Canis lupus familiaris: one gene and its partners. The protein of the gene in region 1 interacts with the protein of each later gene in a pairwise test. Links are inferred from orthologs where the notes say so. Each region holds a gene or a part of one and is shown on either strand. Other genes may lie near its edges. The genes, in order: MYO5B, RAB25, BNIP2 and AMOTL2.

Region 1 (7,179 bases):
GACCAAGACAAAGCCACCATTTACACGCATAGGCTGGATCCACCAGTGAACTAGCAGCACTCAAACTGCTCAGACACCACTTATGAAAGGCCAACCAGAGAAGGGGTTATTGGAAGGTACTGGTTTATCTGGTGATTTCCCAGTCAACCTGACTAAAAGTCAAGACAGCATCCTGAAAGACTGGTCCAAAACAACAAGGTTCATAGAAGGGTTATTCTGGATGAAAAATAGACTATTTCCTGCAATATCAAGATCCAATTGTACTTCCCATGCTTGTACACGCCTGGGACCTGGACAAATCCAATGAGCCCATGTTTCCAACCCACAGGAAAAGACAGTATGAATACTTGCTACATACATGCCACTTGTGACATGATCCCCCATCATCAGCTCCAGCTTTCTTTAGGAGTTGAAGCTGACTCACCTTGACATCACCCTCAAAGTGTCTTGGCATGGACTTTTTTTTTTCCCCCATCCAGAAAAGACTCGCTACAGAGAAAGCCACTTCTCAAAGGTGATGGGTTGGGTCTTCTGAACACAGGTGTGTTCTTAGGTAATGGGATGTGACTTTTGTCAAGGACTAAGGACTCCAAAAATAATAATTCACATAGCATGGAGCCTCCAGTTGGAGTGTGCAGATAGGCAAACAAGAAAACAGTAACCTGGGAGGGAAAGAAAGGGAGTCTTGTCTTGGATAAATAGGATTAGGCTAATATACTAAGTTCTTACCTGAAACTGTACCTTCAGGTTAATTTATGCGCTTGAAGGTCTCCTTCCAATCATACCTCCCTACTAGATCACTAAAGCAACAGGTATAGTTCTAAAAGGCTTTAATAGTTCCACCCCACTTATAAATGCTGTTGACATAATGGATAATTATTTCTATCATGCATAATACATGACAGTGCGTGCCTGGGTCCAGCAGTCACCATGATAGACCGGCCTAGCAGGTTAAAAGGGGGAACATTGGTTGCTTTAATATGCCAAGATGAACAAATCATCCCCCTAAGAAAATGAATCTGAGCAGCAGGCACAATTTCTCTATGTACTTTATTATTCATATGCATACAGAGAATCCAGCCTAGCAAGTAGGGTGATAATGGTTGGAAAACAATACAACTGCTTCTCATAGCAAAGCATGTTTAACTCTGACAAGAACAATTGCTCAAAATTCAATCTGGAAGCTACTGGCTGGGTCACAAAAAGTCTCAATTTCAGATTCATAAACATACAGTGATTAAGGACTAGAAACCCACCAACATGGACAGGTGAAGTCCCCCAGCCCTAGGAACACGTTCTAATACTTTGAGTGGTGTCAAACCCTCACACCCACGAAACCACGTTAGGTGACTCATGTGTCCTTGAGACATTTTTCTTAGGGTAGCTATATCCTTAGTAAAAGCCCAGAAAGTTACCCCCGAACTTGGGCGCAGACTTCCAGTAGGATTCCTTTTTTGTTTGTTTTTGTTTATGATAGTCACACAGAGAGAGGTGGGGGGTGGGCAGAGGGAGAAGCAGGCTCCATGCACCGGGAGCCCGAAGTGGGATTCAATCCCGGGTCTCCAGGATCGCGCCCTGGGCCAAAGGCAGGCGCCAAGCCGCTGCGCCACCCAGGGATCCCCACTAGGATTCATTTCTAACAGTTAACATACCATACGCTCATTTATAACTGGCAACATACTCGTTTCCAACAAGAACATCAAGTGTTTTCCCCTGAAAGCGTGGTCTTTAAAGATTTTTTTATTCATAAGAAAGAGAGAGAGAGAGAAAGGGAGAGCGAGAGCGCACGCCAGAGACACAGGCAGAGGGAGAAGCAGGCCCCATGCAGGGAGCCCGACGTGGGACTCATCCCGGGTCTCCAGGGTCACGCCCCGGGCGGAAGGCGGCGCTAAGCCACCCGGGCTGCCCGAAAGTATGGTCTTTAAAAGCAATCCAATGTTTTTCAAGATCAAGGCTTCAAGAGTTGCAGATTTATCCGATTGACTATCAGCTTCCCGTAGTACAGCAGTTATCTGATGAAAGGCCTCGCCGCATCGCAGGCACGGTCGCCGGGGCCCGGTGCAGCCCGGGGTTGAACAGAACTGCGAGGCTCTACCATCCAAGCCCAGGTCAGGTCCCCCGAGCCCCCTGCCCCACCCCCCGCCCCACCCCCGGCCTCGCCGGAACCAGGCTCCGGTCCGAGGGCCTGACAACCTGCTACCGCCGGTGAAGAGCCCGAGTCCTGGGGGCCGCTGCCAAGACCCACAGGCTGAAGCGGGCGGGGCGCTTTTCAAAGCCCGACTCCCGGAGCCGCTCGCCAACCCCGCCCACCCCGCCCCCTTCCCCGCTCCTGGCTCCCTCCTCCCTCCTTTCCAGAAGCTGCGGCCCCTCCGCAACCGGGGCCAGGACGCGGGCGCCGAGGCTGTAGCTACCCCATCCCCAGCCAGGCCACAGCCTCCGCGTCATCCCGGCTCAGCTCGCTCTTCCGCAGGAGCCGGGAGAAAGTCCGCCCCGCGGGGCGAGCGGCCCACCCCGCTGCGGAGCTCCCCACGCGCGCAGCCGCCAGGTGAGAGGCGGAGCCAGCCCCGCCCCCGCCCAGACCCGCGGGCCGCGCGCGGACCCCGCGCCCCGCACCCGCCCCGCACGCGCACCGACGCTCGGGGCGCGGTCCCTCGGGGCGCGGTCCGGAAACAGACCGGGCGGGCAGGTCTCCCGAACTTCCTGACCGGGGGAAGGGCGCGTGCTTAAAGGCGCGGCCCCCCGCGGCTCAGCCGTGGGCGCTCCGGGAGGCGGCGGCTGGCCCCTAACTTGAAACAACCGCCGCGGAAGCAGGACGTCTCCAGCCAGGCGCACCTGTTCCCGACCGTGGGGCCGAGCCCTGCAGAGCCCGGCTGACCCTGGCACCCAGAAGTCCGCACTCCGCCCCTGCCCTTGCTGGCACCCACGCCGAGGGGCCGCCTTCAGCCGCCCACCCCCAGCCAACTAAGAATGCGCTTCCCCGGGGTCTCCGCAGGTCCTCGGAGCACTTCCCACCTCACCTGTTGCTCATCTCCCCCCCCCCCCGCCCCATCAAGTCCCTAACAGCCGGTCGGTCCCCTTCTCCCCCCGCCCCCAAGTGTGCGAGCGTCCCCGAAGTTCGTGCTGCCCCCGCCGGCGCGCGGGAGCGAAGGGAGCCTGGGGGCGCGCCCTCGCGAGCGGCCGCTGCAGAGCAGGGTCCGGGGCGGGGGGCGGGGTCGGGGGGCGGCAGTGGGGCTGTGTCCGCGGCCCGGCTCCGCGCCGCCGGGGACCCCAGTCCGGGACCGGGGAACTCAGCAGAGCCAGGCGGGGGGCAGCGCCGCGGGGAGCCGCGGCCGGTCGGCCGGCGCAGGACGCTCCCGGAGCGGCCAAACTTCCTCCTCCTCCTCCCGAAGTTCTGGGCGCCGGGGGGGAGCGAGCGGGAGGCTGCCAGGCGCCCCCCGCCTCCCGGAACCGCAGGAGGGGGCGCCCCGAGGGCCGCGGGGGGGGGCCGGGGGCCGGGGCGCGCCGCGCTGGTCCCCGCCCTCACCTGGCGCGCGGCGCGCACTCACCTGGCTGTACAGCTCGCCCACCGCCATGGCCCCGCGCGCCGGCCCGAGCCCGGGCAGCGAGTCTGCGTGCGGCCCTCGCTCGCGCCCCTGCCGGGCTGCGGGTCCCGACTCCTCTCCGCCCGCAGGCTCAGTCCGCGGCCAGCCCGCCTGGCGCCATCTTCCCGGGCGGCCGACACTTTCCCGGCGTGTGGCCGCCTCCCCCACGCCCTGCCCCGCCGGCTCGCTCCCGGCCGGCGCGACCTTTACTCCCGCGGCGGCGGCCGGGCAGGACTGGCGGGCGGGGGCGCTCCCCGCTCAGGTGGGGGAGGAGGTGGGGGAGGAGGTGCGGGCGCCGGGAGGCAGGGCCGAGCACCGCGCGCGGAGCGGGCAGCCGGTGCGCTGCGGCCGCCGCCTTTGAGCCCTGCGGGGCCGGGCCGGACGCGCCCTCCCGCGCCCCCGCTGCAGCGGGGTCCGCGGGGCCGGGGGCGGGGCCGGGCGAGGAGCCGGGGCAGACCGCCCCCTGCTGGCCGCCGGGTACAGGTGCGCGCCGGGGAGGCACCTGCCGCGCTCCGCAGGCTCCGCCGGCTCCTCCGGGCGATCGCGGGCTGGGGCCGGAGGGGGCGGAGGTGGGCAGTGGAGACGGGAAAGAGCCCAGGTAGCAGCAGGGCGAGGGGAGGAGGAGGGGAAGTAGGGGATAGAAGTCCGGCCGAAAGCCTCCGCACGTTATTCTCTGGACTTCACGTGGCTGCGCTCAACAGTCTCAGGGTTAACACTCCGCTGTCACGGGATGTTGTAACAGGTGACCTGGCTATGCCCACGGGGTCTCCGCCACACCGACTCCCTGGCGGACGTCCTGACTGGGCAAGTGGGATTCGTAGCTTCCCTCCCTATTTTTGCCTGTTTGACCCTCGACGTCCAACTAGACTCCTACCCGCCCTCCCCCCCCATCAGAAGATGGTCATTCGCGTCTCCTTCTCTCTCGTGTGCACGCTCTCCATCCCCTTGCCATTTTCTACCTCCTTTCGGTCCCCTTCCCAATGGCCTGTGGCTGCCTGCAGCAGCTTCAGTCCCTCTTCTACCTACAGCAAAAAAGAAACCTGACCCAAAAACGAAAGTAGCCGGCGGGAGTTGACGGAGGAAACGCAGGTAGCGCCGGGGCAGAACGGCCCTGGGTGGGTCTGAAGGAGGCGTCTGTACCTGAATGAGGAACAGCCTGCGGGTGCTTCTCAGCTGGAGCGCGCATCCGGTCGATGCAGAAATTGTTCTGGAGCCACATGCTTCTGAAACTCTTCCCAGGTAAGCCCTTCCAGCTGGAATCAGGACCCCTGCTTAATTGGCCTGTCAGGCCCTCACAGCTGTGCCTCCTCAAGGAGACTCTCCTAGGGAACTTTACCAGATCCCGCCAAAGAACCCCACCTTCAGGACGTATGTCTGGCGAACAGAGGGAGTTTTCAAGCTCCCCCATAATCCTAGAAGATTGTACTTCCAAGGTTGACAAGTGCGGTGATCAAAGCTTGGAGAACCCTCCTTGGATTTCTTCACATCCCAGACAGAAGCAGGGAAGAAATGGCTCCACCACTTATCTCTCACTCAGAAATCTGTCAGCATAGTTTCCTTCCCTGTGTTCAAGAAGATCTCCAAGTGTGACACCCCCCCCCCCAGGCTATTGGCATTAGCTGGGTCAGAGCTATAAATTGTCAGGGGTCAGACTTACTGAATCTGAAAGCCTGGGGGTGGAGCCAGCACTCAGTTTTCACACCTTTCTAAGGGATTCTCCCCCTTTGGGGTTAAGAAACCCCTTTGCTAAATAAAGCTCCTTCCCCACCTCTGCTCTGGACCTTTTATGCCTCACCATCATGCTCCATCAGTGGGCTGGTCTCTACTAGCAGCTTTGTTCTCCTTTCCTGCTACATTTCTTAAGGTAGGCGCTTGTCCCAGCTGGCTCTGCTTAAACCCAGTCCAACATAATTACGGGTTCTCAACACTTTCTACACCTTTGCAAAAACAAATGATGCCTGGCGCCCACTCCCAGAAATTCTGATTTAACTTTCTGGGGTTCCTGCCTGGGTAAAAGGATTTTTAAGAGCTCCCAGGTAGTTCTAATGACAGCCAAGGTTAAGAATTGCTGCATTAGTTCCTTCCTAAATGGTTCCACTCACTCCTATCCTATTGAGATTGCCTTCTCCCTCTAAAGCATGGGGCATGTTATTCTGTATGTTGGTAAATTGAACACCAATAAAAAATAAATTTAAAAAAAAAAGCCTGGAGACTGTACGATTTGAGCATCATGGTTCCTGACGACCGTGGGCTCTCAGGGAAATATCAAGAGACATAGGATAGCGTAATTATTATCTGTCTGATGGCTCCTTCTAAATAATGTTGTGCAACACTTGACATTATACTTGGATGGTTTCTGTTTATTTTGCCTTAAAATACATTATATTTATTAAATATTACTAAAATAGTCTCATTGTAATAAAAAAAAAACATGGGGCAGTACATGACTCTCCTTTCTCAGGTTAAACCATCTCCTTCTTAAAATCTCTCATTTTTTCTCCTCTTGTTTTCCCAGCCTTTCTAACCACACCTTCATGACATCCTTTTCTAACCCTGCTTGCTAGTTCTCCAAACTATGGTCCAAAATTTGGGCTCATTTCCCAAATCTCTTCTCTTCACGCCACCCTCCCCCCCCATTATACCTCTCACCACACTGGTAACTCTCAAATCTAATTTTTTTATTTCTATTCATGAGAGATACAGGCAGAGGACAGAAGCAGGCTCCTTGCAGGGAGCCCAATGAGGGACTCGATCCCAGGACCCCAAGGTCATGCCTTGGGCCAAAGGCAGACGCTCAACTGCTGAGCCACCCAGGTGCCCCAAATCTAGTTCTAACCTTACTACAGACGCATCTTTCCACCTGCCAGAATGACAACACTGGCCATCCCATTAGGACCTAGCATTAACCTGAAACTAATTTGTTTGCATCTTTCCTCCCCACCCCCAACTGCCTCCAACTTTCTAGCTTCCATCCTCCCTGGCACAGATTAAAAGCTCAATTCATGCTGACTGAATTGAATCACCTCCCTGAGGAGAATCCTACTCCTGGCCAGGGCTTTGTGAATTTCTAATCTCACAACCAGATATGGTCTTTCCCTCCTTTGAATAGTAATAAAGACCTCTTAAAACTTACTTTGTCCCTGGAAACTTGCCAACTGCTTTCCTTCTGTGATCTTGTCTGAGCCCTAGAGAACCCTATAGAGAAGGTTGGAATCATAAATCTATTTCACAGATGAGGAAGGTGAGGCTGGTGGAGGGAACATTCTAGATCAGCAAGCAGGCCTTCAACTACACTCTCATTCTCAAGCCTAAGCACTTGCTTTTATGCCAGTGGTTCTTTAATGTTAATGTATATCAAGATTCTGGGGTCCCAGGCAGAGCTAATTCAGCTGGTCTACGTGCGGACCATGAGTCTTCATGTTTAATACGTACCAGTTCGTGCAGCAAGGTTTGTTCACATGGAACTCTCCCCCGCAGGTAAAGGAGTGTGGAAGTGGATTCCTTGCTTGGACTTGAAGATCATGGTCCCAGCTGGCACTTGGATTGCAGCCTTGTGAAACAACCTCAAGCAGAGGATTCAGAAAAGCTGTGACCTAAT
Region 2 (7,299 bases), about 37 Mb from region 1:
AAGCACAGAGATTGAACAAAGGACTTGGGGCTGGCCAGGAGATGTGAGGCTGCACCACTGGACACCAGGGCCTGCATGCTTAGCCACTGCATCTTGCTGCTCTGACCCCAGAGGCCTCCTAGGGAAAGCATGACTGGAGACAGTTGTGGGGAGCGCACCTGCCACACTGCGGATCTCTTAGTCAACCACAAATAATTGCCCATAGAGACGATCTTAGGGCAAGTGGCAGGACATAACGAGGGACACAGGGTGACCGAAAGGAAAGGCCGGGAGCTCTAAGGAGAAGGTGAAGGCGGTAGGGGGTCCCACGGAGGATGTCCAGGCTGGGGTCCTAGGGTGGGAGCAGGGGCTGGGGTGGGGGAAGTTACACAGTTCAGATGCGGGGGGAAGGTTGGGGAGGACTGGGGGGGGGCTCTCACCTGCAAACATCCGGGCCTCTTCAGTGGGCACCTCCCGGGCCTGGTGGAGGTCACTCTTGTTGCCCACGAGCATGACAACGATAGTGGCCTCAGCATGGTCGTATAGCTCCTTCAGCCAGCGCTCCACCACGGCGTAGGTCTGGTGCTTCGTTAGGTCAAAAACCAGCAGGGCACCCACCGCACCACGGTAGTACCTGGGGTTGGGGTGGAGCGGGCGACTGAGGCAAGGTGAGAGAAGAGCCCTTGAGCCAAAACATCACAGATGAGCACCAGGGATGGAGAGATATGAACGCTGGGGTCCAGGGACCCAGATCGGGTCAGGGCAACTCAGGGCTCTGAGCCCGATGCTGAGCCCTCTAGGGCTACTGGTACTGGAGACTCAGAGCATCCCCCTCCTTCTCTGACTCCCTCCTGCCTTTCTAGCCATGGCTCCCTTAGGTGCTTTGCTCTGAAGTTAGCCCTCCCTGTCCACCCATGCGCACCTGAGCCCCAATTAACACAGCCCCCTAGGGGCACACCTTCGGTGGGCTCATCCTCACATGGTTCCTGTGCCATGGTACCCTCTTCTGTCCTGTGGCCATCTCCCTAGAACTAGCTGAATGTCCACCCCATGTGGCAGTCCCTGAGCTGACCATCTGAGACGTCCCTGCAAGCATCCAGTCTCACTCCCGGAGGTACTTGGGGCTCCTTCACATTGTGATAACTCATTCTTCCCATTTTAGCAACATGTCAGCTGAGGCTCAGAAGCGCTTGGTGACCAGTCTGGGAGCCATGAGTGTGTGTTTGACTGAAGCCTTGGGCTCCTGCTTGCTGTTCCTCAGCAGGTGCTGTCCCCAATCACACACATAGACCACCATCCTCACACATGGCCTGACGCTCCCTGGGAATTGTTCTGCATGGCCATCAGGAGGCAGAAAGTCCTCTGTCCCCTCTGAGTGTTTGTAAGATGCTGCTGAGGGGTCCAGCCCCCACCAGGTTCATGGGGAAATGGCAAAGGATGCTGAGCACAAAGCAGAAGTGAGGGCCCTCTTGGTCCCACAACCTACCCTATCCACAATCCTCCCTGACTTCAACTGCTTGAGCCCCAGGTTTTTGTATTAAGCAGGGATTAATTACAGCATCTTGGTCCCGTGGCACTTAGAAGGTGCCTCGTGCCTCCTAGGACATGTAGCAGAGGCTCAAGAAGTGGTCCAGCAGCTGCTGCTTTCCACCCTAGCAGTTGGTATCACTGGGTCTTGCCTCAGCCTGTGTGGTTTACAGCACCTGGGGCTCACAGGGGCCATGGAGCCCTGGGATCCCCTCAGGGAGACCATGGCCCCATGGCCTCTCCTCCAGGGACACCCCCTAATCCCCCCCAGCGCCCCCTGGCTCCAGGCTCACGCGGAGGTGATGGCTCGGTACCGCTCCAGGCCAGCTGTGTCCCAGATCTGAGCCTTAATGGCGGCCGTGCCCAGCATGACCGTGCGGGTAGAGAACTCGACCCCAATGGTGGTACGGCTGTCGTGGCTGAACTCGTTGCGTGTGAACCGGGACAGCAGGTTGGTCTTCCCCACGCCTGACTCGCCGATCAGCACCACTGCAAGAGTGGAGACACAGGGCTGAGCTCGGAGTCTGCCCATCAGGAAAGGGAGCTGAGCCCAGGAAACTGAGGGGGGAGCCAGCCAGAAATTTCCAGACCTCCCAGGTGAAGGGCCAAGAGTTTGGGCTGCAGGCCTAGAAGGGTTCTTGGTCTGGTCTGTGGGGATGTGGCTACAGTCAGTCTGCATTTCCGGTGGTGGGGTGCCAGTATTCAGGGGCTATGAAGTTGGCAGGGCGCATGGAAGTGGACAGGGATGTAGGAGGTCTGGGGAGGGCACACGTTTCCCAACTAGGCAGTGTGACATTGTTGTGCCTGCTTGTGGCGAGCTGGGAGGACCTCAAGGTTCGGCACGTGTGCTGGAAGCCACTGTGCCAACACAAACGTGGGGGGGAAGCACGTTTGGCAGGTGACACATCGTGGGAGGGAGGGAAGCACTGGGGGTGTGCAAGAAGTTAGGATACAGTTGTCCCCAAGGAGGCACACAGTTAAGAACACGGGATGGGTGTCGGACAGGCCTATCCTGACATTCTTTTTCGTATGAAAAATGGCAGTAACAACACTATTTCACGGATTGTTGAGAAGTAAATGAGATACTGCCCCGGCTGTAGTGAGTGTAGAAGACTGTCACCATCAAGATTGCTCTGGGCAGGCTGGTGCTTTCATTGTCAGGTTTCCAGGGACCCGGATCCACCAGAGGGGCACTCAAAGAGCTTCTGGGCTGGTGGGCAACGTCCAGGGCCCAGCTGTCCTCACCACGGGTGAGCTGGGGGCTGCAGCAGGGCAATGGGGGCTGATGCAAGTACAACCAATAAGCTGTATGACGCTGAGTGAACGTCCAGGATGACAGGACAACTCCCAGGGTGGTTCTGGAAAAGTAGGCTGGTGCCCTGGGAGCCACATGTTCTAGGCTCTGGTCCCCACTCAGTCTCTCACTAGCTGGTGACCTTGAACATGTGGCTCAGCTTTTCAAGGTTCCAGTTTCCTTGTTTGTAAAATCTATAAAGCCCCCTGGAACTTGTGCAGGGCAGGAATGAATGGAGAGCAGGTGGGTGTGGGTGTGCATCCTGCCTCCCCGCGCTGGGAACTTCATCCCACCTCACCTCTGCCAGTGGGTGGGCTTCTAGCCCTGCCATCAGGCCCAAAATATGCTAAGACTTGGGTTTGAGTACTGACTTTTAGTGACCATTTGTCAGCCACTTGCTGTCAGTAAAAGGGAGACAGTAGGTGTTGATTGAGTACCTACTATGTGCAGGCACCATCCTGAAAGCCTTACACGAACTGACTCATTTAACCCCCAGCACAGCACCACGAGGCACGTACCACGGTCACGGTCATCCCATTTTTACAGCCGAGGAAAAGCAGGCACTTGGGGGAGTAGCAGCCGGCCTCAGACAGAGTGTGCTGCCCCTATCTGTGCTGAGGAAGGTGGAGCCTGTGGCCACGGGAGCACCACCAGCAGCCAGACTCTAGCCGCCAGCTCCCTCTGCCCCTGCCCTGGTGCACAGAGCTGCCTCGGCAGAGACCGTCCCTCTCAGGGTGGCCTGCTTCCAGCACTGCCCTTGGCTGAGGCTCTGTGACCCTGTGCAGCAGTTTGGTTTCTCCCCATTTCCTCTCCCTTCCTTTCACTGGTGCTGAGCCAGATGAGACTCCTTATGTTCCAAACTTAGTGTCTGCTTCTGGAGACCCCAACCTGCACGACTAATAGTGGACAGAGCTGGGATGGGAGCGGGGAGTCTGGCTCCTGACCACAATGCTTGCAAAGCGAGAGATACACTTTGGGGTTGTTCTGGTGACTAATGACTCAGGAAAGGGCAGTCACCAGTAGCAGCACAGCCCCAGTTTCCCCTTCCTGGGAGGGAGGGCTGAGCACAGGTGCCCCAACCGGAGTGGCTTGAGTTCTAGCCCCAGTGAGGGTGGGGCTTAGGCCAGGAGAGGCAGCGGGGTGGGGTGGCTGGACGGGGACTCACAGCTCTGCCAGTCCACCCCACCCAGAAGGAGCTGTGGAGGTGGGGGTGCTTGGGGGCTGGGGTCTACTGGGGTCCAACGCAGGGCCGAGGGAAAGGAGCAGGAGAGATGCATGCATACTTCCAGTGTCAGTCAAGTTGACCCTGCGCCCAATATCTGGGCCCAAAGAGGCTGCCAAGGGACAGCAGACAAGGCCCTAATCTTCGGAGTCCTCCAAGTTCTATTAGATCCTGTGCTCCATCTAAGCTATCTTCCCTGTCCTCACTGCAAAAGGGACAGAGCTCTCCTTTCTCTTCTTTCCTGCATGTCCACTGAGAAACAAGACTTTCTTCCTTTCAAGGCTATGCCCCCTCTTCTCAGGAGGGAAGTCCTCTCTGAAGTCTGACCTCAATCTCTTGTGCTGCAGTGGTTAACAGTTCCTAGGGACATGGCTTCCTTTGCGAATGGAGCAGAGGAGCCTAACTTGGCCCCACCCAGGACTGATCAACAGCATTATCTGCAGAAGCAAAGCATTCGAAGCAGCAGCTCCAGGACTTTTGCCCCAGTAACCAGACCCTCCCCCACTCCCTGCAGCTTCCTTTCTACTCCAAAGGAGTGAGGAGCCCTGAGAGGGTCCTGGTACCAGGTAAAAAGAGGAGGGGCACTCTGACTCAGTCAGTCTCTCTCTTTACAGACCCCAACTCACCCTTGAAGACAAAGTTATAATCTTCCTCGGTTCTGTTCCCCATCCTGGCTCTGCATGGAGGGTATAAGTGGCTTCGGAGGCAGGGGAGACACGTCTCAATGCCCTCAACCCTCAGCTCTCCAGAGACCCGGATCTGCTGCTCCACTCATTGGGGGTAAAGAAACCTCCGCAGGCTGTCTGTGGGCTTGAGGGCCGACTAGAGGCTAGGCAGGGCCTGGGAGGCTCAGCTCTGGCAGGTGGGGGTGCTGCAAGGAAGCCAAGAGAACGGAAGCTGAGAACAGGAAGAGCAGGCAGCAGAGACCTGGGGCCCAGGTGGGTGGAGAGAGGATGACGTCAGACAGGTTAGGCAGGTTGGGTGTCTGCTCTCAGCCGGTGCTCCCACGGTGGCCTGGCGGGCTGGGACAGGGAGGGGGGGCAGAAAGGATGACAGCGGGGGTGGGGGGAGCTGGGACAGGCCCAGGAGGACCTTCAGAGAGCCAGCTCTGGACTAACTGCATGGTGCTAGGGCTCCTGGGACCAGGGACCTACCTGAGCAGCCACCAGTGAGAAACAGCCTGTCAGGGAGCAGAAACCTGCTTGGCCTCCTGTTTTTCCTTCAGAGCCTCTGGTGGGGGGGTGACTGGGGGCACCAGGGGAAGGGCTGCTGGGGCGAGGGGCTGAGGCTGACAGGTGCCAATCCCCTTGCTACAGTGCAGAATTCTGGGAACCACGTCATGGTTCTGCCCCTCCCTACAGCCCAGGGCCTGGGATGGGCAGTGTTCCTCACCCTGGGTGGAGGAGAAACTCGAAACCCACCTCTCCCCTGGGATGGGTCCCTTCCTATGGTACTGGGCTAGGGGCTGCTAGCTCCCTGTCCAGACCTGCTCTAAGGATGCCGGGGAGGGGGAACCTGGAGCAAAAATGGACAGTTGGGGTGAGGAGTCTGAGTGTAGGCCAGGATCTGGAGATGGACGCCTCCTAATACTCCCTCCCCAACATCCAGGTCTCCAGAGCCATATTGACTGCAAAGGGCTTCAAGATTGGAGGGTCTATGTGAGTGGGGGTGGCCCCTCTAGACAGCTGTGCACACTCTCACCCACAAGAGCAGAAAAGGCATCTCCCCAGGTTGGGGCTGAAGGTCACTAGACTTGCAGGGCCCTTTTTCTCTGCCCAATACAACCCCCAACCAGTCCCCCACCGGTCCCAGCTCCTCTGCAATCACTCCCAAAGGTGTGCCATTCAGGTGGGCAAACACTTGCTCACAGTGGCAGGGCCCAGATGCTCCTATAGCTGAGAGGCCGAGGGCGCTGAGGCACTACCACTGAAATGACGTGGCCATCAGAGGGCAAGGGAAGAGGTGGGCCTTCAGGACTCTCCTGAGCAACCCTTGCTCCCTGCCACCTCCCTGGGCTCCTCCCGTTCAAGAAGATAGTCATCAGGGGCTCCTGGGTGGCTCAGTCTGCCTTCAGCTCAGGTCACGACTTGGGTCTTGGGATAGTGCCCTGCATCAGGTTCCCTGCTCAGTGGGGGAGTCTGCTTCTCCCTCTTCCCTCTGCCCTTTCCTCTGCTCGCACGCGCTCTCTCTCTCTCTCTCTCCCTCCAATATATAAACTCTTTTTAAGAAGTAAGTAAAATAGGGGATCCCTGGGTGGCTCAGCGGTTAGGCGCCTGCCTTTGGCCCAGGGCATGATCCTGGGGACCCGGGATTGAGTTCCACATCGGGCTTCCTGAGTGGGGCCTGCTTCTCCTCTGTCTGTGTGTCTCTGCCTCTCTATCTGTGTGTTTCATGAATAAATAAATAAAATCTTTAAAAAAAAAGAAGAAGAAGGGCAGCCCCGGTGGCGCAGCGGTTTAGCGCCGCCTGCAGCCCAGGGTGTGATCCTGGGGACCCAGGATCAAGTCCCACATCAGGCTCCTTGCGTGGAGCCTGCTTCTCCCTCTGCCTGTGTCTCAGCCTCTCTCTCCGTGTGTGTGTCTCTCATGAATAAATAAATAAAATCTTTAAAAAAAAAAAAAAAAAAAAAAAGAAGAAGAAGTAAGTAAAATAGGGACGCCTGGGCAGCTCAGTGTTTGAGTGTCCGCCTTTGGCTCAGGTTGTGAATTCAGGGTCCTGGGATCGAGTCTTGCATTGGGCTCCCCACAAGGAGCCTGCTTCTCCTTCAACCTGTGTCTCTCATGAATAAATGAAATCTTAAAAAAAAAAGTAAGTAAGTAAAATAAGTCTATTTTTAAAAAAGAGCAGTCACCACATAAGATAGGAGTTACAGTTTATTCTTGGAAAAAACAAAGTACCCCCCAACCCAGAAAGGTTCCCAAGGGGGCCCTGCCCCTGTAAATGTTCATTTATCTTTTTGACCCCAGCTTCAAACAAGGATCATTACGATGCTGCTACTTGGGTAAGAGGCTCCTCCAGGTATTGCACCAGGGCCTGGGCCTGCAAGAGGGGAAGAGAAATCAGGACCGTACGCGGCCTGCCACTAGAGGGACCCCCAATGCAGACCCACTCCTGGCTGAGCACCCCGCTCCCACCCACTCCTAGGGTCAGTCCACAGCCAGTGACGGTCATGAGAGGACTCCAGGACTGTGGTGAGGTGGGAGCGGGCAGCCAACAGCACAAAGGCTAGGCCCACGGTTGTCGAGGATCGGGCACCTACGCACCTTGGCCTTGAGCA
Region 3 (7,279 bases), on another chromosome or scaffold:
AAAGCCCAAATACTTAATGCCTATTAACTTAGAAATTAATTCTCAAGTGAGACTGAAACACTATCACTAAAGGTTTAAAACTATCTCTTTCAGAAGTTTTTAATTCACTGTACTCAATTTTTTTCTGAAGTCTTGTGTAATCACTTAAAAGCGAATATACTTCCGAAATTCAATAATCAGAAAAAGTTTCCATTATTTTGTTTTACCTTTTTGTATGTGTTGGAAAAATATCAGGATGTTCTTGTTGCCTTTTTCAAATATCCCACATACTTAGAAAAATATTTAATATCTCATAAATAAAAGCAGAGACTGAAAGTTGCTATCACTATATTCCCAACACCTAGCACAGTGCATGGCACATAAGCCTGTAAATGTTAGTTACAAGTAAGACTATTATAAGGTACGACACTGGATAGCAAGCCATTGTTTTGCTCTACCTCTTAGGCTTATTTTTCTTATTAAACTACATTAATAGGCTTCCTGTTGTTTTACTCTCAAAAAGTGTAATGAAAATATTTAGGGCAACCCACATACATGCAATTATCAATTTCTGTTGGTAAAATTATTCCTTATTTCTTTTTTTTTTTAAAGACTTTATTTATTTATTCATAGAGACACAGAGAGAGAGAGAGAGAGAGAGAGGCAGAGACACAGGCAGAGGGAGAAGCAGGCTCCATGCAGGGAACCTGATATGGGACTCCAACCCGGGTCTCCAGGATCACACCCTGAGCTGCAGGTGGTGCTAAACCGCTGCGCCACCGGGGCTGCCCTTATTCCTTATTTCTAAGAGAAATATGTAACTTGTGAAATTCTATAAGACAAATGATGTCTTTTAGCTCCCCTACTACTTGAAGAAGTTTATCACTTGAAAATAACTCAAGTGTTTCAGCCAATTCATTCAATTTTTATTTCAAAATCATATTGAAGCATGTCATGTTAATACAGCACATGGACATGGATATTTAGTTTGGGGATAATTATTTAAGCTAAACAGAACCAGCAGGAGACAGCAGACAGACTCAATCTTGCCTATTTCACCATAAATTGTAGAGAGAAAAGTACACTAGGTAGACAAAAAGTTCAAACAACTGAGAGAGTATTGTTCTTGGAAGCACTTAATCATCAGCAGCTGTAAGAACAGGAAACAAACAAGAAAGGAGCAATATAAGCACAACCACTTTGAAGGAAATCAGGACACCACTGACTCACAAGTTAACTGTGGCTGTTTCCCATTTTTTGTTCATAGATTTGGTAAATTAGAATGGAGGAAATTACACTTTAAGATGCTATTTGTTAAAATAACCAAATGCAACAAGAATAACTAGATTTCTCAACATACTGGTGGTACCGGGAGCACATGATTGCTTATGCCAGTTACCAGCAGAAGGCATACAGATAAATTCAAAACACCGGCTGACATCAGTGAGGTTAAAAATCAAGGAGAATGGATTACCTCCTGAGACAACTTCTGGAAGGGAGGTGTGGCAGTAAATTCAACCAAGATAAAGAAGGGGATTTCCCTATAAACTCAGCAATATAAGCAAAAATTAAATATTAAAATCACATTTACAACTGTCTGAATTATAAATTATAATCTTACATGCCACTTTACTATTATGTAGTTTAACAGTGCTGCTAGAATAGGTGCTAGTAACTACCATCTATGCTGAAATCAATTATAGTTGGCAGAAGGAAATGTCCAGGCAAGTCTTTTACTTCTGCATTTAAACAGAAGGGCTTCATTCTAAGTATTTGTGTTCACTTTTCCCTAGGAGGCTGGCAGCACTGGTAGTGTTACTGGAAAATACTTTAGACCAGTCTATATTTATGTTTACAAAGATCACCAAAACACCTCCAGAAAAATCTTATACGCTTGTCACTGCTTCCTTGAAAGCAGGGTCATACAAGTTTCTAAGACCGAAATGACAGTGAGATGTCACCTTACACCTGTCAGAATGGCCGTTCTTGAATAGACAAGAAATAGCAAGTGTTGGCAAGGATGTGCAGAAAAAGGAGTCCCTGTGCACTGTTGATAGGCATGTAAGTTGGTAAAGCCACTATGGAAAACAGTATGGAGGTTCCCCGAAAAATTAAAAGGAACTACCATTTGATCCAGCAATTTTGGGTATTTATCTGAAGGAAACAAAATCATTATCTCAATAAGGTATATGCAGCCCCATGTTCATAGCAGCATTATTTACAATCGCCAAGATATGGAGGCAACCTGTTTCCACCGATAAATGAATAGATTAAAAAATTGTGGTATACAGGGCAGCCCGGGTGGTTCAGTGGTTTAGCACCACCTTCAGCCCAGGGCCTGATCCTGGAGACCCGGGATCGAGTCCCACATCGGGCTCCCTGCATGGAGCCTGCTTTTCCCTCTGCCTCTCTGCCTCTCTCTCTCTCTCTCTCTCTCTCTCTGTGTCTCTCATGAATAAATAAATAAAATCTTAAAAAAAAAACTGTGGTATCCATATACAATGGAATATTATTCAACCATAAAAAGAATGAAATCTTGCCAGTTGGGACAACATGGATAGACCTTGGGGGCATTATGCTATGTAAAGTAAGTTAGAGAAAGACAAATACTATAAGGTCTCACTTACTTGTGGAATCTTAAAACACACACACACACACACACACACACACACACCAAGTTCAAAGATGTAAAGAACAGACTGGTGGATGCCAGACGGAAGAGGGGTTGGAGGAATGGGTGAAGGGGGTCAAACTTCCAGTTATAAAATAAATCCTAAGGATGTAATGTATAGCGTGTCGTGTTGATTATAGTTAATAATACTGTATTACAGGGGCGCCTGGGTAGCTCAGTGGTTGAGCATTAGCCTTGGGCTCAGGGTGTGATCCCAGAGTCCCAGGATCGAGTCCTGCATCAGGCTCCCCGCAGGGAGCCTGCTTCTCCCTCTGCCAGCTCTGTCTGGCCTTCCTTGTTTTAGATGCCTTCCTCCATCACAGCTCCTACTGGCGTTACTCCAAAGGCAAAGAAAAGAACCACTTTCCTTTTGGCATTTACTAACCACTTGTACATTCATCATCTGGTATGTTCCAATCAACAACTTTTGTGAGGTACGAAATATGGGTGTTATTTATCCCCGTTTTAGTTTACATATGAGGCAAATGACCCTACATTTTGGGTCCCAGATTAAATGCAGCCTGTTTCTAATACAGCACACTGTCTCCAGTTCACTGGCAACTTTATACAGCATAAGCCTGTAATGCCAGACTTGGTTACATTTAACTTCAAAGGTCCTCTAATGCTTAAAGACTACAACAGCACTGACTAATGACCACCTAGCTCAAGATCCATGTTTGCAGAAGTGGACCTGTCATACTTCCTGTATTAGCCCAACAATGTGAGGCGGCAATAGAGGAGATTATGAAAATAAGAATAGTCTAGAAGAAATGTAAAATGACGAGAACTAAGTAAAAGGTGTCCAAAGATCATCAAGATGATAGTATACAAGCTAACTAAACGGGGTAACTGAAGTTATCCATTTACAAGTTGCAGAAATTCTTATAAAATTTTAGAGAAGGAATATGTTTCGCTGAAAACGTAACTAGGCACTAAGATAAATAGAGATCCTAATTTAAAAAGGTGAGGAGGAGGGGGAAAAAAAAAGGCAACTGTAAAGTGCAATCACACACTTCACTCAACTAAACTCTAAGGCAGGCACTATGTCAACCAGGAGGAACTGGGCAAAAGCTGTGCTCTCCGAGGGCTCCCGCCAACTGGCAGACGAGGGAAGTTTCAAAGCAACGTTAACAGATCCGAACAGATTCCTGATTTAACTGGAGTTGATCTAGGAGATTTCCAGCTGCATGAGAGACGCCCAGGAAACGCAAACCATTAAGCAAAAGCTGATGTCTGAATCCACGCAGGAACTGGGCTTTTATACGTAGGAAGGCCCTCTAAAGCCCTCATTACCAAGGGCCGCTTCCGCGTCTATTCCCCGAGGGTACTGGGCACAGCAGACGTCCGAGTTTCTTTGTTCTGCACCGGGACTGACGCTGGTCTTAAATACGCGACCGAAGCGGCCCGGTCACCGCACCCAGACCAGGGGGTGTGCAGGGGGGCCCAGCGGGGGAGGGGGGGCAAGTCCCGCCCCGAACACAACAGCACAAACGGAAAAGGGGTGGCCGGGTGGCGGGTAAGCCTAGCTAAGGCAAACAGGAGCCGAGCCAAGGGCGGGGGCCTAAGCTGGGCGGGGATCCGGGAAGCGCGTCCCGGGCAAGCTCCCCGGCGGCCCCCTCCATCCGCAGCCCTCCGCGCCTCCCCTCTCGGGCTGTCCGGGGGGCACGCACCCCTCAGACGTCCGCCGCAGGCCTGCTCTCAGCCCAGCCCCGCCGTGCCCAGCCTTCCCGGGCCGCACTCACCCCGGAGGAAGCCTTGGCCCCCTCGTCTTCCTCGCCCCTCCAGGCCGGCGACGTGGGGCTGACGGCCAGGGCGCAGGAGGGAGCGCCGAGAGGAGCCCGCTCCCCTCGGACTGCAGCGGAGACCCGGGCCCAGTGCCCTGGCTACAGCCGCAGCGACAGCAGCTGACCCGGACGCAGACAGCCGCCGGGGCGGAAGTGACGGAATCCCGACCTCCTTCGGGCGCGGGGGCCGGCGGAGACGGAGGCGGGGCGTCTTTGGCCCTTGCCCCGCCCCCTCGGCCGCGCGGACTGACGCATGCGCATTCCGCCCGGGCTGGCCGCGCCTCCTCTCCTCCCGCTGAGACCCGGTCCTCGACTCTCAAAGGGACGTTTCTACATCCCTTCTGTGGGCTTTATTGATCCTTAGAATAATTTTATAGCATAGAATGGGTGAAAGTAGGGGAGGAAGAATCGCCATAAAGGTGCTGTAAGATCACCGTCACGCCTTCCAGACGCTGTTTCTGTTCCCGTCCGGCCGTGCACAGGTGGCGGAAGGGCCCAGCTCTGCGGACCCATCGCACCTGGCGCAGCGGCGCAGGTGTGCAGAGGGGCCTCAGATCCGCATCCGCCAAGTCCCCACGAGGGCGCAGGCGTCCGCCGATGGGACGGTGCATTTGGGAATGGGAAGAGGGAGCTTGGGGGCGACCGAAAAATGTCCATCACTGACCCGAAATGCGGCTCCCAGGTTTACGGGGTTTTGGCAACATGCACCCGTTCTGTCTCATCTCTGAAAACAGGGAAAAATAATACCTACTTCCTAGGGCTTTTGTGAGATAAAGTGCTGTTTATTAGACATACGACGACATACTATCATCATATACGTGTTTGATAATATTTTCCTCCAAGCAGTTTTGTGAAGTTAGCTGGCGGAGCAAACAAGACGGATCAGCTGATAAGCAGAGCCTTAGCTGAACAATTTCTTGGATCGTGCTTACGTCAGCGATTTTATCTTAAGTTTCAGATTTTTTTTCCCCCCCCGTAGTTTCCTATTTTGCTTTTTTCAGTCCTGCAATGAGGAGCATTCCTCACAAGGTGGCAGCAAGTCATTTGAAATTATATACAGTTATGTGGGGTTGGGTTTTTTGTTTTTTTTTTGTTTTTTTTTTTTTTTTTTTGCCATCTTTCTTTTTCATTTCTATGACTTGATTGTTCAGTTAGTTTGGTCGGTGTTTGCTTTGGTTTTGAATAGTCCATTCTACAATTTATCTTCTTATCCTCATCTCATGAATTAGCTATACTTATTGTTGAAACATTGGAAACTATAGAGAAGGTATACATTTAGGTATATCCTTTCAGATTTTTGTATATATATAACTATATAAATAGCACATATGTTTCTATAAAAATGAAATAAGTACCTAGTAGTCAGGTCTTGATCTCAGGGTCATGAATTCAAGTCCTGCATTGGGCTGTATGCTGGGGAGCCTACTTAAAATAAATAAAATAAGACAAGATAAAATTAAATAAAATATAAAAAATAAAAATACATACTGAACTCCTCAATGCCATCATTTTTATTATGGATAAATTTGTATTAACAATTCTTTATTGAACAAATTTAGTTGCTCCATTTTTTTAATGGTTGAAAACCACACTTTATAGAATGTCCAAAAAAGTTCAAGACATAAGACTAACTGATTTTTCAAACAACACACTAGGTATATTTTCAAATAATATGCTCAATATATATTTTTTCAGCTTTTAGGTGAAATGCCTGTAAGCCATGGGTCAAATTGTTAGCCTGAAAAAAGTATAATAAAAACACAGTTTTCGGGATGCCTGGGTGGCTCAGCGGTTGAGCATCTGTCTTGGGCTCAGGTTATAATCTATGTGTCTCCTTGAATAGGCAGATACTTGGAATATTAAAATTGGAAAATAATTTAGAAGAAAAAAAGTGTGGCTTTAGAACATATCATCTAGGGATCCCTGGGTGGCTCAGCGGTTTGACACCTGCCTTTGGCCCAGGGCGCAATCCTGGAGTCCTGGGATTGAGTCCCGTGTCGGGCTCCCGGCATGGAGCCTGCAAAGAAATGGAGCAAAACAATTTGGTGAATTGAGGTGACGTTGGTACTTCCAAAGTGCAGCTAAATAGGAGCTAAACAGATGGCGGGGGAGGGGTGGGAGTTGGGGCCAGTCAAGGAAGACTTTCGGAAGGGGGTCATCTCGAGCTTAGTAATAAAAGGAGGATCTTCCAAACTGAGGGAATGGCTTATGCAAATGTGCAGAGACTTCAAGAAACTGCCCCTTTTTCTTCATGACTGGAGCCAGATAAAAGGGGGAGCTTTTTTTTTTAGTGCTAAGGGTTTATTCAGAGCCAATATGATGAACAACATGGAAAAGCAACCAATTATTATGTTCCTCACAATAACAGCATTATTAGTATAAGTTCTGAGAGAACCACTTTGAAAGAGGCACCCCTCTTTTGAGTATATATTTTAGTATGTGTATTAATTCATTCACATTACTTTGCCATACTTCATACATCAAAACAAAAGCACTTAGCCAAAATAGAGAGTGTTGAGTCTTTATTTCCTCATCTCTACTGCCTCCTTGGATCCGAGAGATAGGATGAGAGATGATGAAGAAGGTATACCAGACAACACTAAGAAAATGCTTGTGTAAATTCAAATTTTAGAAGGCAGAATGTATATTAAATAAAACTCTTGAATAATGCTGCACTCCCCACTGTATAATTTTATAGACAGATTGTTCTTCTGGCTTACGAGCAAATAAATTCAGTGATGTTGGGCAGCTCACTCATAGTTTTTGAAAAAAATGTGAAATATCCTTTTTACATGGGCTGAATGTCTTTGCTAGTTGAGCTTGAGGGTAAAACTGGATACAATTA
Region 4 (6,651 bases), on another chromosome or scaffold:
CTGGGCAGCCTGGAGGGAGGAGTAGATTGGCACTGGCTGCTCTGCCAACCTACCAAACCTTAAAGGCAGCAGGGCAATGGGGCTAGTTTTGTGGCCGAGAAGGGACCACATTCTTCCCACTGACCTCCCCCCATACATAAGACCTGTGGGGATAGGGGTTTTGTTTGGTTTTCCCTGAATCTAGTTAGGAGTTTTGTGTGGGAGGAGGCTGTGGAAGGAAGCTGGGTGAGGCAGGCAGCCTCGGGACATGAGCCACTGAGAGCCCAAGCTCAGAGGGCAATACCTTCCTCAGGAGATACTCCCTGCTCTTGAAGCTTCCAGCAGCCCACCCCCGCCCCAGACTCCGGTCCCTGCAACCAAGAGCTTCTCCCTCGCTCCCCTACTCCTCCAGTTAGCTCAGATAAGTGTTACCGATGGCAAAATGCTGAGTGCCCACCCTCTATGTGGCAGAGGGCCATCGGGGTCTTTTCCAAGTAGCAAGTGTACGTGTGTAGGAGGGACAGTCCTAAAGTCAAAGACACGGTGCCGCCCTTTGTTTTTCCTGGAGCACCCATGCAGTTGCTGTCAGCACACAGACTATGACTGACCCACAAACCTTGACGGGTGGCATCTTTTTCACCTCATTTCACAAAACCATCGTCCTGTTGTAGCTTCTCCTTTGATCCCTTATTATTTGCCAAACCCGATGCATTTTTGTCCTTCCTGTTCACCTTGCAGAGTGACCGTCAAGGTCATCCCGTGACAGAGAGGGCCCAGCATGGTAAAGGTGGTAGAGGGTGGTGAGTTACCCGTGCCAAGCCTAGGGCTCAGGCATGCTACATTCTAGAGGGAGCTAGGGGCTGTCTGCCTAGGGCTTCTACTAGGCTGGACTCCTTCTTTATCACCTGCCAATGAACTGGGGCCCTGTCTACCCCTAGACTGGCCTGCTCAGTGGTTGTAGCTGAACTACTCCTGCCCTGGAGTCTCTCCTCAGCCTTTTCACTGGGAAGCTGACTGCAGAGGCTGGGTGATGGATTACCTTGGAGGTTACTGGTGGCTTTCTTTAGTAAGTCTCCGTGAATATGACTGTAACGGTGGCCCTCTGCCAAGGATTTACAGTGCACCAGCACTCAGCAGCCATCGCCTTATTTAATTTTCACCTCCATGAGGCAAGCGTTATTCCGATGGAATAACTGAGGCTCACGGGTTAGGTCATTTGCCTTAATCAGTAGGTGGCAGCACTGGCAATTGAACCCAGGCTTGTGTGACCTCCCCCCCCCCCGCCCCCATAGCCTTACTCTTCACCATTATGCTTTGGACCACACTGTAACGGAAAGCACCCCCTGCCCTCTTTCCCCTGTGCTCCCACTAATTGCTCTTCTTTCCCTCCTCCCAGGTGCCCTGGGGCCAGGTGCCACCGGCCATTGTCCAGGCAGCTGTGTACAAGGCAAGGAAGCATGAGGACGCTAGAAGACTCCTCCGGGACGGTCCTGCACCGCCTCATCCAGGAGCAGCTGCGCTATGGCAACCTGACGGAGACTCGCACGCTGCTGGCCATCCAACAGCAGGCCCTGCGGGGTGGGGCTGGGGCTGGGGGCACAGGGAGCCCCCAAGCCTCTGCAGAGATCTTGGCACCTGAGGACACTCAGGTGCTGCAGCAAGCCACCAGGCAGGAACCCCAGGGCCAGGAGCACCAGGGCGGTGAGAGCCACCTGGCAGAGAACACCCTCTACCGGCTGTGTCCACAGCCCGGCAAGGGTGAGGAGCTGCCCACCTACGAAGAGGCTAAAGCCCACTCCCAGTACTATGCGGCTCAGCAGGCGGGGCCCCGGCCACATGTGGGGGACCGGGATCCCCGAGGGGCCCCAGGAGGCCATCGGAGCCAGGATGAGGCCCTGCGAGAGCTGAGGCACGGGCATGTGCGCTCCCTGAGTGAACGGCTCCTGCAGCTGTCCCTGGAGAGGAACGGGGCCCGGGCCCCCAGCCACATGAGCTCCTCCCACAGCTTCCCGCAGCTGGCCCGCAATCAGCAGGGCCCCGCACCCAGGGGCCCACCTGCCGAGGGCCCAGAGCCCCGCGGACCGCCGCCTCAGTACCCACACGTTGTGCTAGCTCACGAGACCGCCACTGCTGTCACCGACCCGCGGTACCGCACCCGCGGGAGCCCACACTTCCAGCATGCTGAAGTCAGGTAACTGCCCGCCCTGCTCTTTCAAGCTCTTGACTTTCCTTCTGGTATCGTTCTCCCCTGGGGTGGAGAGCCTGCAGACACCCTGTGTCGGGGCTGGCAGGCCCCAGAGGAAGGCTGTTGAGACCCCCTCCCTGTCCCGAGAGGGAGGGGCTCAGGCCTGATGTAGAGGAGGACTTAGCCAGGGTCACGTGAGAACTTAGTGGGACCTTTTGCTTTAATTTGGAGATGGATGCCATTGTGTGCTTAGCTGTAGCAGTCAAGTAACTAGGGTTCCCGGGGGTACCGCTTACAGCAGGGGGTTAAAGGTTAGGTTTTCGAAAGAACTTGCTAAAGACAAGGGTTGGGAATCCTTGCCAAACGGTTTCCAAGCTGAGTTGGCAGGACATGGGACCTCCTTCTCTGGAGACCTTTAAGACCAACGGGACAGTCTGCCTTCTGTGATGAGTGGGAGGCATTCCTAACTGGAGGCAGGAAGGACCAGATGGCCTCCTCCGAGACCTCTCCCTGGCCTACACCAGGGCAGGAGCCACCCTCCTACTACTCTGCGTTTCCTTTCACGTTTTCCCTGTGCTCCAGGTGGCTGGAGCTCCTAGCAGGAGAGGACTTGGGGTCCTGGCAAGCCCCTTTCTGTGGAGCCTTGGAAAGGGCTGCTGGGGAATGTGGACTTTGAACCTGAATGTGAAGGGAAGCCTTTAGAGGATGGGATTTGGCTCACCTCTTTAAAAAGGTCCCCCCGGGAAGCACGTAGAGAGAATGGATTCTAAGGGCAAAGGGTGCAAGGAGGGGACAGAAACCCCGGATAGTTTGCAGAAATACTGGTTCCTAGAAATGAGGCTCTGCCCCTGGCTTCTCACTCGGCCCGGCCCCTTCCGAGAAGCAGGGACACCGATCATTTCACACACCGCACCTCCCCCCGGGCTGGCCCAGGAAACCCCACCAGAGGGGCCTGCGGAGTTGCAGACTCCTTTCCTTGGAAGCTCAAGGCCGAAGTCTGGTCCTCTTCATGCTTGCTGAGTCTTCATTTAGTCACCCGCTTTCCCACCATTTGGCCTTTTCCTGGGATAGATGCCTTTCCTTGCTCTCGAGAAATGAGTGACGCCATGGTGTTGGCATGGGGGAACCAGAGGACGGGGCCTTGTGGGTTTTCTCCATCCTCCACCGCTCGTGCCCCCCACCTTATCTCCTCTCTCAGGGCTTGGTCAGGGAGAGTTTCGGAAGCTGAGTCGCGGGTTTCTTCTTTTGGAGCAGCCTTATTGAACCCTGTCAGGAAAAGATAATATCGTGGAAAGGAAGTAGACCACAGGAGAACAAAACAGGGAGGGCGGGGGAGGAGCAGGACAGGGAAGGGAGAGCAAGTGTGAAAGGAAAGGAGACTCTATTCTTTCTCAGAGCTAAGTCATCCCCCAAGAATGCCAGTTGTGTCTGCCTGGCCCGGTGCAGGGGGGAGAAAGTTCGTGAAGCAACCCTGAGAATGCCACATTTAGCAGTGCACCGAGAGCTTGCACATTCCAGTGGGGACCCTCTGCTCAGCCCTCACTGGAAGCTCTGCCTTAGGCAATAAGACAAATAGATCTGCCCAGCCTTTCCTTTCAGCTGGTCACACAAGGATTGTTCATTGGGAACTTGGGGCGAGACTTTTCTTTTAGCCCAGGGTCCTAAGGGGAGCAGGGGAGAGGAGGCTGTGAGGGGGATGGAGGGCCTGAATGCTGAGGTGATGGACCTACAAGTGGAATTCAACTCTCATGAAGCTTCTGGAAAGCTCCTGGCGTAACTGAGGCAGTTTGTTCTTTCACACTTGGAGTCACAAGACCCCGGAAAGGCCGTGTGACCAGCCTTGACACCCATGCCTCTTGCTCTTTGCTCCTTCCCTTAATGGGGCTGAGGGTGACATTACAGCACTGCTAGAGGCCAGTGGAACATTGTCCCTCCACTCAGGCTATTGCAGTGGTCCAGAGGTGGCCCCTACACCTAAGAAAATCCAGTGTGTGGGCCACGTTTACTCTTTAAGCAGACAGTATGTTGCAGTTACCACTAGGAGAGGTAGAAGATGGACCACCATTGTGGGAGCACGCGCTGTAGGCCCAGCATCCCATCAGGCCCTGTGTAGGCCTGGCCAGCCCCTCGAGGCTGGAAACACTCATCCTCATGATTTAGCAGAGCCTGCACCATGGGGATTTGAATTCCTATTTTGTCAGACTTTGGAGCTCAGACCCTTATGCCAATATCTATCTACACTCTGCCCTGAGCCACGGGGATTCACAAAAATGTTTCTGCAACGGGTGACGAGACCCAAAATAGGGAGTAGAAAATGTGAGTGTGCTACACTGGCAAATACTAGCAGAAGAGGCTTATAACAGACGCAGGAAGTGGCCCAGAGTCCTGGAAGGCTGTGTACAAGGTCCAGGACTACTCAGGCTGATCCCCAAGGCCTTGGCCACAGTGAGGCTGGACATGAAACAAGCATCCTGATGTTAACCCCCACTAGCCCCACTCCCTTGGCCCTTCAGGGTCTCGGATAGAGCCTTCCCCACTGGACACTGCCTCCTGTTGTGTGGAGACTTGCCAGTATGCCAGGAGGGCTGGGCCCACCCAAGGCTGCTCAGGGGTGGGAGCCACAAGGGCCTGCATAGTCTCTGAGCACCATCTCTTCTGTTCCCCAGGATCCTGCAGGCCCAAGTGCCCCCTGTGTTTCTCCAGCAGCAACAGCAGTACCAGTACTTACAGCAGCCCCAGGAGCACCCCCTGCCACCACACCCAGCTGTTCTTAGCCATGGCCCCCTAGGCGCCCTCAGCCCACCTGAGGTGGAGGGGCCGGCTAGCACCCAGACCTCCTCGGCCCCCTCTGGCAGTGCCCACCTGGCCCAGATGGAGACTCTGCTGAGGGAGAATGCCAGGCTTCAGAGGGACAATGAGAGGCTGCAGAGGGAGCTGGAGAGCTCAGCGGAGAAGGCTGGCCGCATCGAGAAGGTAGGCCCTGCTGGGGCCTCAGAGGGCGGGGGCCTGCTCTCTACCCCCATATCCTTTCTCCTCCCTCCCTCACTGACTCTAGACAGCTGGGGAGCAGCCTCAAGGCCAGCAGAGCAGGCCTGGAGTGTGAGCAGTTGCTGGCCAGTGGTGATTAGAAAGAGCCCATTCACCAGCTCGCTGCACACCCTTCCCCTGCACACACCCCCTCCTGTGGACACCTCCCACAGAGAGCCCTTTGTGTCCCGCACACAACAGCAAGTCTGTTCTGGGCCAGCCCTGGCCAGAAAGAAAGCCCCTCCTCTTGGAAAAAACGAGCTACTTATTGGAATCACAGGCCAGCTCGGAGCACGTGCGGAACCTGCCAGCAGCCAAGTGGGAGGGGCAGCTGGGGCCAGGCTGGCCCTCTGCGGTACACGGGGATGGCCAGAGGAGGAAACGCTCCAGAGAGGAGGCAGCTCAGCCCAGGGGCCAGCACCCTGTTCTTTAGAGGAGGTTTGCCAGCTGTGCGTTCAGTTCTGACAGGTGGCCTCGGGCCTCCTATGGCTGTCCTGTGGTTTGAGCTCTTCTGGCCCCTAGAACGTGGCTGGAGTCTTTTTGTGCCCACTCCTGGCCCACAGTGCTCAGATTCTCAGTAGAAACTGGACAAAAGTAAAATGCTGCTTTCTGGACATTGGGTGCGGGAAAGCTATGCTTGGTCAGTCAGAGGCAGCCCCTTCCAGGGTACCTGGCCCTGGGTTCACTCAGCACTGGGGCCCTGGCACAATTGAGGGGACCCCTGCTTGCTGGTTCTAGCATCTGATTCAAATCTGGAGGCCACAAGCTTCTGACCGTCCCACTCTAACCACTTGGATTTTTTGCTGTTGCCTTTTATCCTGTCCTCTCTCATCCTTTCTGATGGAGAGTCAGAGAGCAGCCTGGGCCTGTGGAGGGGACCCTGAGGCCACACAGGGATCTCTCCCCTTCCTTCAGCTCTCCTGTCTGCTTCTTGCAGCTGGAAGGTGAAATCCAGCGGCTCTCTGAGGCCCACGAGAGCCTAATGAGAGCCTCTTCCAAGCGGGAGGCCCTGGAAAAGACCATGAGGAACAAAATGGATAGTGAAATGAGGAGGCTGCAGGACTTCAACAGGGATCTGAGAGGTGAGAGAGGTCGCCCGAGGTGAGGGGGTGGTGAGCACCTGCGGAAGGCTTGAAAAGAGAAGTTGTGTAAATTGACTCAAAGGGGGCCAGGCTGAAACTCCTTGGGGGCCGCCTTGACAGGGGGCATGCTTGTCTCTGTGCTACCCCTTGGGGCCACCCATGGGACCTCCTCACCTTTGTGGCCCAGAGTGCTCCCTCCTCCTTAGGCCCTGAGCACACCCAGGGCTTCCCTATCAGCCCATCCCCGGTTTAGACGGTGCAACCCCACAGGCGGGCACCTGATACTCAAATATTTTTTCTTAAAACATTTTTCCTTCATTTAAACAGAGAGATTGGAATCTGCGAACCGCCGCTTGGCAAGCAAGACACAGGAGGCCC

Evidence for each region.
Region 2: the proteins of MYO5B (region 1) and RAB25 interact in binary tests that used the Homo sapiens proteins (3 or more experiments, as listed by UniProt). The link is inferred for Canis lupus familiaris from reciprocal best matches to the Homo sapiens genes MYO5B and RAB25.
Region 3: the proteins of MYO5B (region 1) and BNIP2 interact in binary tests that used the Homo sapiens proteins (3 or more experiments, as listed by UniProt). The two-hybrid records come from large-scale screens. The link is inferred for Canis lupus familiaris from reciprocal best matches to the Homo sapiens genes MYO5B and BNIP2.
Region 4: the proteins of MYO5B (region 1) and AMOTL2 interact in binary tests that used the Homo sapiens proteins (3 or more experiments, as listed by UniProt). The two-hybrid records come from large-scale screens. The link is inferred for Canis lupus familiaris from reciprocal best matches to the Homo sapiens genes MYO5B and AMOTL2.

What each region holds. Positions count from the first base shown.
Region 1 is NC_049228.1:78,760,406-78,767,584, reverse strand, and holds the start of MYO5B (unconventional myosin-Vb), read right to left. Parts: upstream 3,810-7,179; 5' UTR 3,573-3,809; coding exon 3,546-3,572; intron 2,546-3,545; exon of another isoform or gene 2,329-2,545; intron 1-2,328. UniProt on the Homo sapiens protein: May be involved in vesicular trafficking via its association with the CART complex. The CART complex is necessary for efficient transferrin receptor recycling but not for EGFR degradation.
Region 2 is NC_049228.1:41,739,128-41,746,426, forward strand, and holds the start of RAB25 (ras-related protein Rab-25), read right to left. Parts: upstream 4,951-7,299; 5' UTR 4,692-4,950; coding exon 4,649-4,691; intron 1,996-4,648; coding exon 1,800-1,995; intron 614-1,799; coding exon 420-613; intron 1-419. Other genes in the region: ragulator complex protein LAMTOR2, read right to left, coding at 6,991-7,061, 7,286-7,299. UniProt on the Homo sapiens protein: The small GTPases Rab are key regulators of intracellular membrane trafficking, from the formation of transport vesicles to their fusion with membranes.
Region 3 is NC_049251.1:24,906,243-24,913,521, forward strand, and holds the start of BNIP2 (BCL2/adenovirus E1B 19 kDa protein-interacting protein 2), read right to left. Parts: upstream 4,592-7,279; 5' UTR 4,393-4,591; intron 1-4,392.
Region 4 is NC_049244.1:31,676,310-31,682,960, reverse strand, and holds part of AMOTL2 (angiomotin-like protein 2), read left to right. Parts: intron 1-1,375; 5' UTR 1,376-1,436; coding exon 1,437-2,170; intron 2,171-4,830; coding exon 4,831-5,137; intron 5,138-6,128; coding exon 6,129-6,273; intron 6,274-6,600; coding exon 6,601-6,651. UniProt on the Homo sapiens protein: Regulates the translocation of phosphorylated SRC to peripheral cell-matrix adhesion sites. Required for proper architecture of actin filaments.